Linked DNA regions of Callithrix jacchus. The protein of the gene in region 2 purifies or fractionates together with the protein of the main gene of each other region. This does not show direct contact. Links are inferred from orthologs where the notes say so. Each region holds a gene or a part of one and is shown on either strand. Other genes may lie near its edges.

Evidence for each region.
Region 1: the proteins of ACVR1 (region 2) and TGFBRAP1 purify together in Homo sapiens (co-immunoprecipitation; 3 studies listed by BioGRID and IntAct, counting the BioPlex papers as one, with this or other methods). This does not show direct contact. The link is inferred for Callithrix jacchus from reciprocal best matches to the Homo sapiens genes ACVR1 and TGFBRAP1.

Annotation. Positions count from the first base shown.
Region 1 is NC_133515.1:15,339,338-15,347,617, forward strand, and holds the end of TGFBRAP1 (transforming growth factor-beta receptor-associated protein 1), read right to left. Parts: intron 8,051-8,280; coding exon 7,617-8,050; intron 5,944-7,616; coding exon 5,767-5,943; 3' UTR 2,760-5,766; downstream 1-2,759. UniProt on the Homo sapiens protein: Plays a role in the TGF-beta/activin signaling pathway. It associates with inactive heteromeric TGF-beta and activin receptor complexes, mainly through the type II receptor, and is released upon activation of signaling.
Region 2 is NC_133507.1:72,101,279-72,109,544, reverse strand, and holds the start of ACVR1 (activin receptor type-1), read right to left. Parts: upstream 5,479-8,266; 5' UTR 5,186-5,478; intron 1-5,185. UniProt on the Homo sapiens protein: Bone morphogenetic protein (BMP) type I receptor that is involved in a wide variety of biological processes, including bone, heart, cartilage, nervous, and reproductive system development and regulation.

The DNA.
Region 1 (8,280 bases), on a different chromosome or scaffold from region 2:
TGCACCTGTAGTCCTAGCTACTTGGGAGGCTGAGGCAGGAGAATCGCTTGAACTTGGGAGGCAGAGGTTACTGTAACCTGAGATCATGCTACTGCACTCCAGACTGGGCAACAGAGCAAGACTCCATCTCAAAAAAGAAAGAAAGGAAGAAAAGGGAAGAGGATTCTTTGTCAAGATTGGCAGAGGCTGGAGGAAAAGGGGCAACTGAAAACCACTTGAAAAGGGTATGTGTAGACCAACTCCTCTCCTGACTCCAGTCGGAACTGGGAATTGAGGGGTGGAGTGAGCTAGAGTCACTTTCCTAATCAAGGAATCATGCAATGAGATTCTGGCATGCTCAGACACACCTATGGAGGAACATCTGTGGGATGCTGTGCATGAGCCCTGTGCTGGGTGCTTTCAAGGGCCACCCGAGATCCTGGGTCCTAGAGGGCATCATTTGGTAATGAAGGCTGAAACCATACTGCTACTGCCCTGACTTCCCTCCCTTGGAACAGAAGGTTAACACAAGAAGGGAACTCAGATGCTGCCCAACTCCACCTCCCACTTACGGACGATACCGCTGACACGGTTTGGATGCATGTTGCCCTTAAATCTCATGTTGAAATGTAACCTCCAGTTTTGGAGAGGGGCCTAGTGGGAGGTATTGGAACCTGGGGGTGAATCCCTCATGAATTACCTCTCCATAGTAATGAGTGAGTTCTCGCTCTGTTAGTTCATGTGAGAGCTGGCTGTTAAAAGAAGCCTGGCACCTCCTCCTTGCTCTCTCACTCCCGCTCTTGCCCTGTGATGCACCTGCTCCCCCCGGCCTCCCACCATGGCTAGACACTTCCTGCGGCCTCCCCAGAAGCAGATGCCAGCAACATGCTTCCTGTACAGCCTGCAGAACAACGAGCCAAATAAACCTCTTCTTTATAAACAATCCAGTCTCGAATGTTTTTTAGAGCAATGCAAAAATGGACTGACACAGGCACGGAGGGCTGGGTGACCCGACTCACCAAGGACCACAGCCAGATGTGTCAGCCCCAAGAGGCCCAGACTCCCGACACCTGACATTTGACTTCTCAAGTCATGCTTGCCCGGTGGAGTGGCACGCATTGCTTGCCAAGCCCTTCTTGCCACATGCCACGTAATCTCATTTAACTAATTTACGACTCTGGACTGCAGGCTGAATGATAGCTATTTGTTTCCCTGCCCCAGTTGCAAGCTAAGGAAAAGTGGGCTTCATTAATTCAAGTGCTTATCTCCCAACAACTGTTAACAAGCCGTGGACGCTGCTCCAGCCAGTTGGCTTTTCTGAGAAGGTGAAAGGGCCTCTAGTCCATATGGTCTAGATTCTTGTACATTTTCATTTCAAACGCTAAGGTTGACAGATCTGCTAAGCGCAAATGGGGTGTTAGTTAATATCTAATTACTCTAACACAAGTCACAGCCCATTTAACTGAGTCAGACACCAGTCTTTGCCTTCACTGACAGACACATTTAGGACATCAATGTACACACTCTCCCCCAACCATTTAGCCTAATCTGCCGTTGTAACATTCTTGTGATGCAGTTAGTGTGAATCTACACGTCCTCCTTTCCGGTTGGGTTTATATGTCTGAAGTCTCCCTCTTTCTTATTCTCTAATATGCTAATGGGCCTTCAGATAACAACGAGGTAAAAATGAGAAAAGAATATGTACCTGCTGCTTTATGATTTTCTAAAAACAGCAATGCGATGGTTGGAATCTAAAAGCCAATATGAGTCCACCCTGGGCTGTATTCTGGTTGTCTGTTCAGGGTTGGTGAAGCCCGAGGTGGGAGAATCTACAGGCAGGAACCACAGCTCTAGCTTGGCACCTCCTCCAACTCCAAGAAAACCACCTCGACACACTGCACCTCAGCTTCTTCAATTTGAAACATGTGTGAGTTCATGACACCTCACCTCTATTCACACGTATTTGAGATTAGGATCAGAATACTCAGGGGGACTGGGTGTGGTGGCTCACACCTGTAATCCCAGCACTTTGACAGGCCAAGGCAGGTGGATCACCTGAGGTCAAGAGTTCAAAACCAGCCTGGCCAACATGGTGAAACCATCTCTACTAAAAATATTTTTTTAAAAATTAGGTGGGTGTGGTGGGCAGAGCACCTGTAGTCCTGGCTACATGGGAGGCTGAGGCAGGAGAATAACTTGAACCCAGGAGGTGGAGGTTGCAGTGAGCTGAGATCACACCACTGCACTCCAGTACAGGCGACAAGAGCAAACTTCCATCTCATAAAAAACAAAGCAAAACAAAATAAAAAACTCCTCAGGAGATTATCATGTGTGTGAACATCCTCCTTTCTTCAGGGATGGAACAGCACCTGGAATTAAAGAACATGAGAAAGTGTTCTGAAATTCACCAGGATGGCTGAAAGACCCACCATCAACAACAGTGTAGGGGATGAAGTAAAATTAAAAGGTAAGATTTTGTAAGAGTTATGTTCTTTGAATATGCTCAGGGTTAGAAATCCAAGAGTAGCAGGCCTATTTAAGAGCATCTGGCTAAAAGGTGAAGTAGGTAAGAAGTAATCAGAAATTTCCTTGATTGAATTCCTCAGTGCATAATTAATCTGAAGGCAACCAATCTCAAGGAGCACCCTAAAATATACATTGGGTAAATTCAGAAGCAGATAGGTTCAAAATTGGTAAAACAGTAGCAGAATTTAAGGGGTTTCCAATTCAAGTCCTCCACAGGTGCTGGGAAAAGCAAGAAGGTACAGATTCTAGAACTCTTTAGAGTAGGTATGGCGTGAGTGGAAACCATCACTCCATCAAGGTAATTTTTATTTTAAAAAAATTACAGAAAGAACAAAGAACTAAAAGAATGAGCAAGTTTACATTTGTACATTTTGTGTATTTGGGACCCAATAGGGGGCAAAGGATAAAGTAGCATGGACAAAGGTTTCTGTGTGAGAGCAAGCAAAAAGCAAGGGCTGCCCCAGTTGTGTCACGGGCATCCATTCAGAGCTGGGACCCTGCAGCCACCTGCCTGCACTCCGGAGGTGAGAGGCACACGTAAGCGCGTATCAGTGGGAGCTTCGCAGCGGAACTCAGCCCAGTGCATTGCGGCACGCATGACACTCCTACAATAATACTTGATAGGCAACAGCAGATAAACAGTTCCAAAAACCAAACAGTATTGCCCATCGAATATGAGTGTAAACTGGATTCAGTTCATGCTGTTTTAACTAGAATGGTTACATGGAACCTAATGAGGGGAAAATGGCCTGATGGGTCTAATTGCTCTATTCAATGGCACGGTTACAAATCAGCGGGCCTGTAAGAAAGAACCATACATTTCTCTCAAAAATACAAACTGAAAGGAACTTGGAGGAGTGACAGAAAGGTTAAAGTACAGTTTTAACATATTAGACAATTCTTCATACTGTCATAGAATGCTGCTTGCGGTTAAGGATTTGGTAGAGATGAAAAACTGCTCAAATTTAATTCCCACAATTCTAAAGAACAACGAACATTTCAGAGTATTGATCAATCTTCACTGAAAAAATTAAAAAGACTAGTGTTGACCGGGCACGGTGGCTCACACCTGTAATCCCAGCACTTTGGGAGGCCGAGGCAGGTGGATCATGAGGTCAGGAGATGGAGACTATTCTGGGCGACATGGTGAAACCCCGTGTGTACTAAGAATACAAAAATTAGCTGGGTGTGGTGACATGCCCCTGTAGTCCCAGCTACTTGGGAGGCTGAGGCAGGAGAATCACTTGAACCCAGGAGGCAGAGGTTGCAGTGAGCCAAGACTGCACCATTGCATTCCAGCCTGGCGACAGAGTAAGACTCCATCTCAAAAAAAAAAAAGACTAGTATCCCCGTGTTAGGAATGAGCAATTGCTAAGCTTTTTCAAGATTTCACCCATTTTGTGGACAGAGAAATAGAGCTTTTAATAGTGCAATGTTGCATATATGGGTAACTTGTTCTTTGAGAAATATAAACTCAAACTCACAAGTTGTCATGATACCATATGCAGTAATAAGACCATTCTACAACAGAGTCACCCACAGGCAAAACACATGACCAGGCTTTGAGCTCACACCAATTCACACAGCATACAGTTGTGCTACAAGGAGAATTTTCTTCATCATTTATTCTTTAGTTAACTGAAACATAGGTAAGAAAAAATGGTGCCAATTCCTCCCAAACAACACATGGATGTTTTTGCTTCTTGGCCCACTTAGAATCTCAAAAGGACAAAAAAAAAAAAAAAAATACATGGACCAGTATTAGTACAGGAAACACGTTTTAAAGAACAGAGAATGAGCTCTTCATCCCACCTCAGTAAAGCTTGGGCTGATGAAGAGAGGGTATAATCAGGGTCCTCTCTTGTCATACGTACAAGCTGACCCTTGTTTCCCAAGCATTATCGTAGTGGGTAGACTGCCTTTATTGTTAGTCCCTAATTGAATAAAATCAGTCATCACAATGAAGAAATTCTGAAGAGGGCAGTGAAGTGACAACAGCTTCAGCTCATCATCGATGTTATACAGAAACACAAAAGGAATACCCGGCCTGTGATGAATGAGAGGCCTCTGCTGTGTGTTCAGGACACCTCAGAGCAGGCACATAAAGTGCTGGGAGGTAACACAGCCTGTCTGGACGTCCTCGGGAGGGTGTGCCATACAGGAGGTGATGCCCCTGTCCAGCACACACACAGGCACTTCCACCCGCTGCTGGTCCTGCTAAAGGTGTGAGGCTAAAACCGGCCTTTCCAGAAAAGAATGCTCAGTGTGTGCTGACTATGCTTCCCTTTTAATTTCCCGAGTATTCAACAGGAGGTACATTTTAACAAGGAAAAATATGCCTAACAAACAGGACAGATGACTCCCTCAACAAGAGAGCAACTATGAACATGATACAAATTTAAATAAAAATGTTTAGTTCAACATGTTCATCATGGAGTTTCAAATCAGCAGATGCTGTGGCAGGAAAGGGGCACACAGCTGGGCCCTTGCCTGCCACGGCTGTCCCGTGCCCGCCACGGCTGTCCCGTGTCCGCGGCTTCTTCAAGGCGGGGAGAGCAGCTTCTCTCTTGAAGCTTTCTCAGTTTCTCAACAGATCTTCACTTGCTAGGAAGCCAGAGACATGAGTTCACCCAAGAGTGAGTCTTGGGTACACAAGGCAGAATCTTTTGGGAGCTGAGAGCTGGAGAGGAAGTAAGAAGGAACAAAGGTACTTCTCCAGGGTCAGCCGTTTCTTAGGGCAAAGGCAGAGCCCACGAGGTAACCCTGGGAAACGGGCTCACGAGTGAGCGGCCTGGATGGAGAACGTGTCTCTGCAGTGAGGGCAGGGCTGCCCCCCATGAGGCTCTGCCCACCAGGCAAGAGAGGGCTTCCTCTCCAGTCATGCCGAAGCCACATTTCCAGTGCAAACATGAGTCTAAAGGTCGGAGTGTGGGGATGGTGGGGGAATCCCCCACCTGGGTCTGACTGCATGAGGAAGACTCCCTTTTTTTTCAATGTACACCTTTGTCTTGGATTACTAAGTGCCTGGAGAGGTGAACTCTTGCATGTCTCTATTTTTGGGATTTTTAAAGGTTTTCCATGAACATTCATAGAGCCTGGTCAGCAGTGAGGAGTCCTTGTTGTGTGTGGACGGAAGGCTCCCTGGCACCCAGATGTCTCCCTTCATCCTAGCTGACACAGAGCATGATGGTTGTCTGCTCTTCACGTCCAGCAGGCTCAGAAAGAACTCGGAGTTCCCCTCATGTCCTCGGGCCAAGCTTTTCAAGTCCGAGTGCCAGGGCTGGATGAGCTGGGGTTCGTGTGTCTGCTGGCAGCACAGTGGGTATGCACAAGACCACCATTTGGGTATCTAACAAACACAGGCTCACAAAAGGGATTTTGGCATATCTGACAAAGCTTTTTGTCTGAGAGCCGAATTGAGCTTCCTTTCAACTTCATCTGCAAAAAGAAACCGAGACTGAGAATGGTGTCATGTGTTAGGTATACTTAAAGTGGCTATGTCCTAGTTTTGAAGAGTTGACATGCGTTACTCCATGGGTTATTATTATGAGACTTTCTTAAGTATCAACTTCTTGAAACAAAATACTAAAGGTGTAAATAAAACCATCCTTAGTAACTGGAGAAGTAAAAAAGCTACATAAATGCTTTTCTTATTTCACAAAAGTAATTGCTGCTTGTCTGGCTGAGGCATTTCTACCCAAGATCCTCTCTCCAACATTCTCTGGGCTCTGATCATCTCAAGCCCGGCCTATCAGAAAGGCATGAATGTTAATGCTGAATGGGACCATACAATAGTTGAATTTCAGGGTTCTCTCATTTGCAAACAAATAAGGGATGTAGTCAAAGTTATAGAGCTAATGAGTGGCATATTCCTCGCTGGTCCTGGGAGACACCCTTTTGTTTCCTTAGATGTAACTGGTGAAACTGAGTCTTAATGCCATGGGTTCCTGTCTGATAACTAGGACTTGAGTTCTGAAAGTTATGAAGTTTTTCTACACAATTCACCTGTGTCAACCCAGGCAGGTTGGTCTATTGGCAGGATCAAGCAGCAGCTTAGTGATTCGTCCTGCACTCCGTAGTTGCATCAGTCATTCCACAAACATGGACTAGAAGCCTTCAACATGCCAGGCTTAGCCTACGGACACTGAGATAAAGAAATGAAGTTCCCTGTCCTCGAAGAACCCAAACTCCAATAGTACAGGGTGACACCTGTGAATGCAAACACTAAGTAGAAGGTGGGTGAAAGGGAAGGTGATTACTTAAGAGGTCTGAGATGGCTTCACAAGGGAAAAAATACTTGGGCTAAGTTCTGACTGGGCATTTGCTGGGCCCAAAGAAAAAGCTAAGAATATCCCAGACAGTGGGTACAGCATTTACAAAAGCAACTAAGTATGAAATACCAAGTCACATCTGCAAAGTTCTGCTAAAGCCAGGATATGTGCTGGAAAGCAGAGGTGGGGAGAGATGGGCTACATCTTCCAGGCCAGGGGCATCAGCAAAGGCTTCTAAGTGTGAGGGGAACATGTCAGATTCCCACTCTGGAAAAAAGACTGCCAGCCATGTGGAATTCAGGCCTACAAGAAAGAAGTCTCCAGAAGGGGAATATAGCATGAAGACCAAGAATGTGGGGTTCTGAACTGGTCAGGGAGGCAGCTCTGAATGTGCCCATTTCCTGAGCATGTGACTGCTCTCTGCCTCAGTTTCCTCTCCTGTGAAATGGAGATGCTGACAGCAGATACTGCATAAAACTGTCATGATAACAAAAAGCTAGCATGACATAAAATGCTAGGTCAGTGCCTGGCACACGGCATGTGCTGGGTAAGCGCCTGATATTCTGCTGCTGCTCTCCTCCCCACAGCTCTCCCACAGATTCTCTTAATAACCAGCGTCCACAAGGGGAGAAAAACTACACCAATGTTACACCTACCAGCCCAGTCTTTGCCTCTGCTCACACAGACCTCAGTTTCTATGAGTAGGATCAGATATTGATGTGTTATAGTCACAGAGACAGAAAAAAAGAAAAACTGACAAAGACTATTTTCCATCAGTAAAATCTACCTTCCATACGACGTTGACTGGCCAGGAAGCAGCTCGTGAGGATCGGTACTCACCTTATCACAGGTGTAAATTAAGTTTTCTGACTTGGCCAGGCCGAGAGCCACCTGCATGGTCCTCCTGGCATGGACGCTGCCCCTCATGGCCCCTGTCAGGAATGGGCAGAGGAGCTGCACTGACCAGGTGTCGGGCAGCATCTGCAGCACCTGGGCTGCGTCGAATTCGGTGGCATGGCGGTTCAGCAGGTCCATGGCGGCCACTGCCAGCTCGTTGGAGGCGGGGCCGGCACGCAGGTAGATAGCCAGCAGCGTGTGGAAGAGGCGCTGGCGGTGGGGCGGGTCCTGGCCCTCAGAGCACCACAGGCAGTAGTCCTCGGCCGCTGCAAAGTCCCGCAGCTCATGCACCAGGATATGCAGCGCCTTCTCGTGCTCACCCAGCTTCCCATGCAGGATGGCACTCTCCATGGGCAGGCCGGCTCCCTGCAGCCTCTCTGTGAGACAGAACCCATGGTTCTTTCAGAAAGAAAGGGGCCCGCTGGCCACCCGCCCAGCAACCAGCCTCCTGAGCTTCAGGAGGAGCAAAGTCAACCGGGTTCCCTCACAATGCCAAATGCTGTCACTCAGATAACTGAGGGAAGGTTTTCTTGCATTTTCACACTGTGGATCCGGGTGTTAGTAAAACAGAAGGCAGACTCAACTCAAAAGTATAGCTGGGCCACAG
Region 2 (8,266 bases):
AGTAACAAGCACTGCATCATATCTATGCAAACAATGAGCCCAGGTTTATATATTACAAATAAGTTTATGCAAAAAACTTCTGAAATATCAACTCTTTCTTATCTTCAACCTGAAGAAATTGTTTTTTACAAGTTTGAAGTTTATTTTGAATAGAATAGTGAAAAAAGTATGTTTTCTGGTCATAATCAGAAATCACGCATTGAAATAAATAACACATCATATAAAGTGATCATTCCTCCCACAAAAGTCAGTAAGTGCCACAGGTCAAAGGATATAGAAAGTCTAGGGTTCAGACCAGTGTTTTTCAAAGGAACTGTGCAACGCTATTGTCAAATAAGAAAAATTAACATTATAAAGATGTGACCCTTCACTAATGAAGTATTTACATTTAACAAAATCCCAATAATAATATGTTTTCTTCATGGAGGGGAGAGGGTGGTAACTAGATATGGTTCTTTTAAAGTTCATATTTTAAACACACACACACACACACACACACACGTATTAAAATTCTGTGAAATAGGACTTAAAATGGGGAGACTTACCCCTATGAAAAAGAAAAAAAAAACTAAGCCTCAAAAGTTCTAACAATGAAATTCTGCTGTATCAGTAGGCAGACAGATTAATGAAACTAAATGGTTAACCCAGAAATAGACCAAAATCTATATAGGAAATAACAGTATAAAAGAAACCAAAGGAGAAAAGTTGGGACTGTTCAGTAAAATTGGAAGGACTAGCCAATATGGCAGAGACTGCTCCTTTTCCACTAAAATTCCTTCTTTTCTTCTTCTTGGGTGCAAGGCGGCCCACACAGACTTCACTTTTCAGTCTCCAATGCAGCTAGACATACCCCTATAATGAAGTTCTCATCACTATAGTTCTCATCTGTAGTGATGTCTGTAGTTTCTGATCACTAGCCCTGGACTTTCTCCTTTGCCCTTCCCATGGTGGGAACCCAGCTGTGGCAGCAACTCAGATATGGCCATGCAGATAATCACAGCAACAATTACTAGAGCCACAAGACAGAAGGAACACAAGCCTCTGACTGATCAGTGGATATGGGCTGTTTCGCTGATCTGTTTTGCTTACACTGGGACTGTTAAGCAAAGAAAAAAAAACAGGTTCTTCAACAGAGAAACTATAAGGGAAAGAATGGGCTGGAGGCGGAAACCCCAGTTTTAAGAGACTTACAAGACAAAGATAATGCAAGACCAATCTGTAGGTCTGAACACTTTGTTGATGGACTCATAAAGAAAGGCAAGGAGGCAATTACTGTAGTGTAATACTATATAATATACTGTTTCTTGGCCTGCAAGAAACTTTTGTGTTCTTTGAACCATAGCATATTTCAGTCCTTCGGTTACAGCAATTCAACCTAATTAACAGAGCATCTAGAGAAGAATTAAGTTGAACTCATACCTAAAATTTCAGATGGATCAAAGGCTTAAATCTAAAAAAAAAGCCCACATGACACTAGAATGAACCAGAAGATAGTAAGTTTTTAAATCTAAAAACGGAAAAAGGTCTTTTAACTATGATACTATGATATTGACCATTTCCTCCAATGTAAGAATATAAGTTCTGCTGTGGAGCAAGAACTGGGGTCTGTTTTGTTTTGTTTAAACTATTTTACAGCCTGGTCCCTAGAACAAGTTCTCATACACAAGAGGCATTTAATAAACAATCTTTGAGTGAATAAATTGGCAATCTTAACTATACAACATTTTTAATAACCTGCACGACAAAATAATAATTATTTCTACACAAATGGCCAACTGAGGAAAATATAAATAGCACATATCACAGGATAAAAAAGGGGGAACCGATAATTTTGATGTGATATTTTGATAATAAAAATCATAACCCAATAGCAAAATAGACAAAGAACACAAACATAGAAAGAAGATAACTAGAAATAAAAGTGGCTTTTAAACTTACGAAAAAATGCTCAATCTCAAACCAACTATGAAAAATGCAAATGAAAGCACATTAAACTGCCATTTTTTACCTATTACTTTGGCTAAGAAATAAAATAATCAGTTTGGCAGTCATATTTGACAGGCAAGGGCAGGAGAAATCAGTGTTCTCACTCATTGCTGTTAAATCTAAAATTTGTTAAGGTCTATAAACAGATCAATTTGGCAATAAAATTTCTACCAAAATTAAAATGTATGTAACCTTAGACCTAGCAATTCTACTAGAAATGGATCCTAGAGATACACTCACACATGTTTGAAATGATATATACACAAGGTTATTCCCCATAGCTTTGTTCATGATAATAAAAACTGGAAATGATCTACATGCCCATCAATATCGTTAAATACATGATAGCACATCTCTACAATGGAATACCAAGTATCTACTAAAAATGAATGCAGTGTTACGATGGAAGAACTTCCAAGAAACATTATTTCAATGAAAAAAGTTACAAAACTGTGGATACTGCTACCACGAGTGTAAAAAAAAAAAGAAAAATTGTAATATAGGTTATATGCATGTATATTATATACTCTGAAATATCTGGAAGAATACACAAGAAAACGGTAACAGTAGTTGTTTCTAGAAGGGTCACTGGGTACTTGGGAGACAGAGGAGGGAGACTCAATTTTCACTCTACGCTCTTTTGTGCCTTTTAAATCTTCTATGCACTAATAATACTACCTTTCTAAAAACAAATGCTTTAAAAAAATAACAAAAATACAAATATTCATTGCCAACGCCAGATACCTGAAAACTTCTCTAGTGACTCTTACCGTTAACCACGTTAGGAAACTACCGAGCTGAACACTTTTAACCCTGTTTCATAATTAAGAATCACAGGGGTAGCAATTAACTACAGCCATCATCTCCTTCTCCCTCAAATAAATATATACACAAAATAAAGTCTGTCTCTTAATTCCATCTCTGTTATTCATTACTTCCTCTTAAAACAAATTCAACCTCATACCACCTTAAATGGGCATAAAAGTATCTCAAAATGCTCACAGGATGGTAGCCAGAACTAACAACTATGCTAATATATTAACACAGCCTCCAAAAAACAAAAATTTGACACAACTGATGCCTTGGCAACAGCCCCAAGCAGTGCATCGTCTGCCTTAGAAAATAAAAACATCCTTAGTGACCAAAAGTCCAATGTCAATAGTCATGGCCTTAGTTTTGTCCCTAATGTGAAAGGTCTCCCGCCTACCCCCTTTAAATTATGGACTAACCTCTCACTTGAGGACTGGTGATTATTACGTTACAGCCATAGAAGGGAAACTAGGCAGGGATTACTCACCCTGACATTAAATTCCGCTTAAAAGGAAAAATATCTGTAATATACCAAGTCAAGCTAAAAAGCAAGTTGTGAAATAGGATGTGTGGTCATGTTCCACCAATTTTTAACATGATTAATATGCATATTTTGTTTGTATATAAAAACATCTGCATATGAAAACGTTTGTAAACAGGAAAGTTTGTATTCCAAGATTTTAGCCAAAGGTGAAAGAGGAAAAGGAAGAACTTTTATCTTTAGATATGGCTATGCTTTATACTGTTTTGTATTATCTAACATAAAATAATCAAAATTAACTTTCACATAAAATATAAGGCAATGGGGGGCTAAGGCAGGAGGATCACTTGAGGCCAGGAGTTCAACACCAGCCTGGGCAACATAGTGAGACCCTGGCTCTAAAAAAAAATAAACACCACCATCAGGTGTGGTGGTGTGCATCTATAGTCCTAGGTACTTGGGAGGCTGAGGCAGGAGGATCCCTTGAGTCCATGAGTTTGAGGCTGCAGTGTGCCATGATTGCATCACAGCTCTCCAGCCTATGCAACAGAGTGAGACCCTGCCTCAAAATAGTAACAACAATAAGACTGTTTTATAATAATACATTAGACTCTCGTTTGAAAAGAATGCAGCTAACAGCTATATCAGAGACTTTCCTCAAAAGTATTAAATCTAAGAAGGCTGCATAGATCAATCCTGGCAGAATTTAATCCTGAGTTCCTTGCTTCTGTCTCCATATACACGGTTCAAACCATATCTAAGCAACCTAAACACTAAATTCAGAAAGACACACACATCAACATTTCGCACTTCAGACCTCCCTCACAGAAACTTCTTACTGACTCTATTCCAAGTAGGTATTCCTATTACTCCCATAACTTATCACACCCTTAATAGTATTTCACCCTGGACAACAAGACTTCTTTTTTTTTTTTTGAGACAAGGTCTTGTTCTGTTGCCCAGTCTGGGCTGCAGTGGTGCGATCACAGCTCACTGAAGCCTCAACTTCCCAGGTTCAAGTAATCCATGTGCCTCAGCCTCTGAAGTAGCTGAAGATAAAGGCACCCGCCAATACGCCTGGCTAATTTTTTTTTTTTAAGAGATGGGGTTTCACTATGTTTTCCAGGTTGGTCTCAAACTCCTGGGCTCAAGCAATCCTTCGTCTTTGGCCTTCCAAAGCACTGGGATTACAGGCATGAGCCACCATGCCTGGCTCAAGTCTTCTTTATGCTTTTAAAACACTCCACAGGAAATACATTATTAAAATGTAGTTCTGGAAAAGGTAAATGTATGGACACAGTAAAAAGCCCAGTGTGATTGCCAAGGGCTAGTGGAAACAGGAAATGAATAGGTAGAGCACAGAGATATTTAGGGTGCTGAAACTACTCTGTAGAATACTATAATGGCAGATGCATGTCATTATTCATTTGTCCAAACCCACAGAATGTACAACACCAAGACTGAGCCTAATGTAAACTATTGCCTTTGGGTGATAATGATGTGTCAATGTAGGTTCATTGATTGTAGTAAATGTACTACTCTGGTGTGGGATATTGACAGTAGGGGAGGTGTTGGGGAGATAGATGAGAACTCTCTCTACTTTCTGTTCAATTTTGCTGTGAACCTAAAACTGTTCTAAAAGAAACAAGGTCTATTTTAAAAGAAAAAAATTAATGTGGTGGCCCTGTAAGGTGAAAAGGATGGCAGAGGCATTTTACAGGTAGGGAAACATTGGCAATGTTTATATGAAAAACTCGGCCAAATGTAAAGAATAGCTGTGCAGATCCACCCCACAAAGCCTACTATGAAAGCAATGGCAGAACTAAGAACTATGAGGGCAGTCCTAGCTTTCTCATATTGAATTCATATTAAAAAAATAATAATAATCATTTGTGGCAAAGAATTTACCCTGTGGATTTGATCTCTGCCAAAGAGTTTTAAAATAAGTGATTTGTTGATGTGGCTGCACTGCTGGTTCTGGCAACGCCGCTTTGAGAGCTCCTGGGTAAAGCTGACTCAGCTACCTTAACACAGGCTCCCGGTCACATCTGTCCACCGTCCTTCAAGCTGCGTGCCCTCCTTCAGAGCTTCTCTCACTCTGGTCACTCGGGTACTCGGGGAGTAGAAGAGGCGCTGCTGGGATTATGAGTTCTCCAGCGGCTCTCACTTTGGCAATGCGACGCTTAACAACGCTCCAGGCTGCAGGGAGAAAGAAGAAAGAAAATAAGCTAAGCAGAAGAAAATTCTGCAGTTGTGAATGCGGTGGCTAAAGGAAGTGCACATTTGGCACACCTTTCAATTAGGACCACAAAACAAAGCCTATCTACAAGTGCAGCAAGTACAGAAAAGTTTGAAAACACTGATAAGAACAGTGCAGAGGTCAGGGATCTATAACGGTCTTTAAATATTTTTCTAAATAACACAAAAACCAGTAAGATTTGCAGTCGGCACTTTTCAAAATCAAGTTCCTTTAAAGCCTATACACTGTGTACTGCAGACCTTTCTTCTCTTTCCTTTGCCACACACAAAGTCAAATAAAAATTTGACTCTGCATGTACTATTACGTGCATTTAGTTTTTTTAAAAAAAAGTCTGAGCAGTACAAACTATAGAATGAAAAGGTTTCCTCCCTTTCCAAGATCCCTGGCCCCTCTTAGAGGCATCCAGTATACCAGAGTAACCAATTGCTTGTACATCCACTCAATCTGATTTTGGTCTATTTGCAAGCAACAATCTCTGGCATAGACAGATCTGGTTCAAAGGCTCATAAAACAATGGTGGGGAAAGAGCACAAAGCGGAAGGGAAGAGGAGGGGAGCTCTAGATAACTAATATAAAACAAAAACCCACCCAGGCTCCCTTTTCCTTTAGGAAGACTTGAAAAACATCAACATTTGCAAAAGGAAGAGGAAATTTTTATTAGAACCAAACTTTCCCATTCAAATCGTTAAGTAACACAAAATACTGAAGAACTTACTGCTTTCAGAAAACAGCACCTTTTTTTAACCTCAAAGAACATTTTGCCAAGAAAACCTTCATGTAAATAAATCTAGGCAGAAAACAAACCCCAAATGTATCACTCTGCAATAATTATGGGGAAAAATCTTTCCATCCACCTTGGAATTCAAGGGAAACGTTTTACAGATACTATCAAACCGTTCCTCACTTCAGCTTAAATTGAGGTTCACAATCTATTTGAAAAGAAAATCTAGACATATAATAGGCACAGTAAGAATAAGACATGTACAACTATCCTCCATAGAGAGGTTAACCAGAAATTTGTGTTTTTCAGCAATCACTTAGCAAAATTAAAGAGCAAAAAGGCATTTCTAGAGTGGGCATCCTTAAAAACAAACTCCTCAGCTGAGCAGCACTCAAACCTTTGAGTTTCAGAACAAACTATTGAAAAACTGGTATTTTCCAAGATGCTGAGGCCAGGGAAATTTGGCAGATTTGCACTAAAGCTGCTCTCCCCTCTGCCAAAAACTAACTGCATTTTAAGAGGAGGCCAGTGTTCAGCTGTCCTGCCTACGGTCAACCATGTCTTTAAGTGAGAGTTACTGTATTGGTGGGAAAGAAGAGGTTTAGATAAGCCGAAAAATAAACACTGGTACATATATTTCTGATTCTCTTTAAAAATCAGAGACTTTTTTTTTTCTCATTATGAAGGTGCTTCTAACTTGCCATCCAATATCCCAGCCCCATCATCTTCACCGCACAAAATATCTTCTCATCCTTTAAGACAGTGTTTGAGTTCTCCTGCCTCTGTCCATCTTCTCTAAAGATTCTTATATTTCCCAGATCTAATTCCTCTGGTATTTATATTCTATATGACTCAACCTAGCACTTAATTCTCCGCCATGCACAGGGTTTGTCAAAACCAATTTAAAACTAGGTAAAAAATCACATACTATTCTTCAGTTTTCAGCTCTATTTCATGATACTTAGCACATACTTAGTGCACAAAACTTAACTGGATAAAAATTAAATCTCCAAGTTAAATATAATTTAACATTTGTTTTAAAATTCACTGGGCTCTCAACTAAACCATGGACTGAAATCAAAACTGTGGTGTATTACGAGAAAGACCAGGTTGGTAAAATGGGAAATAACATGTTGAGCTGGATACTTAACGCTTCAAATGTTCTACATCTCCCCACAAATACCCTTCAGTTGAGCTGGACACTTAACACTTCGAATGTTCTACTTGGTACCCATCTCCTCAAAAATACCCTTCATATCGATAGGCAAGTTCGGCAGGCCTAAAAGGTAGCAAAAAACTGCTGTGTTCAAAACCCCAAGAGAGATTGCAAATATAAAAACAATCTCCGTAAAAAGCTATATGCACTAATCAAATTCAGTGCTATTGTTCAGGCACAGTGGCTCACGCCTGTAATCCTAACACTTTGGGAGGCTGAGGTGGGCAGATCACCTAAAGTCAAGAGTTCAAGACCAGCCTGGCTGACATGTTGAAACCCTGTCTCTACTAAAAATAAAAAATTCACCAGCCATGGTGGCAGGCACATGTAACCCCAACTACTCAGGAGTCTGGGGCATGAGAATCACTTGAACTTGGAAGGTGGAGGTTGCAGTGAGCCAAGATCAGCACCACTGTACTCTAGCCTGCACAACAGAGGGAGACTCTGCCTCAAAACAAAAAAGTAATAAAAACTCAGTGTTATAAAATAAATATCTATATAATAAACTCTAGCAGCTTTTCAAAAACCGTTCATTGAGCTGAGTTTTTTCCCCAAAAATTTAGCCAACTTATCTGGCGATGGAGTTTCAATCCTTGGCAGCTAATCAAACTGTGTAAAAGTCTGACTCATAAGGGTCAAAGGCACCATCCCGTGCAAGGGGCTGGAGGATGACTGTGAAGGGGAAGAAAAATCCAATCGAATTTTCTGACTCTAATTTTGAGCATTTAACATTACAGTACAGTTTTCTGTAATCCAGTTTAAAAGAAGAGGCATAGTTTTCTTAAAAGCTGT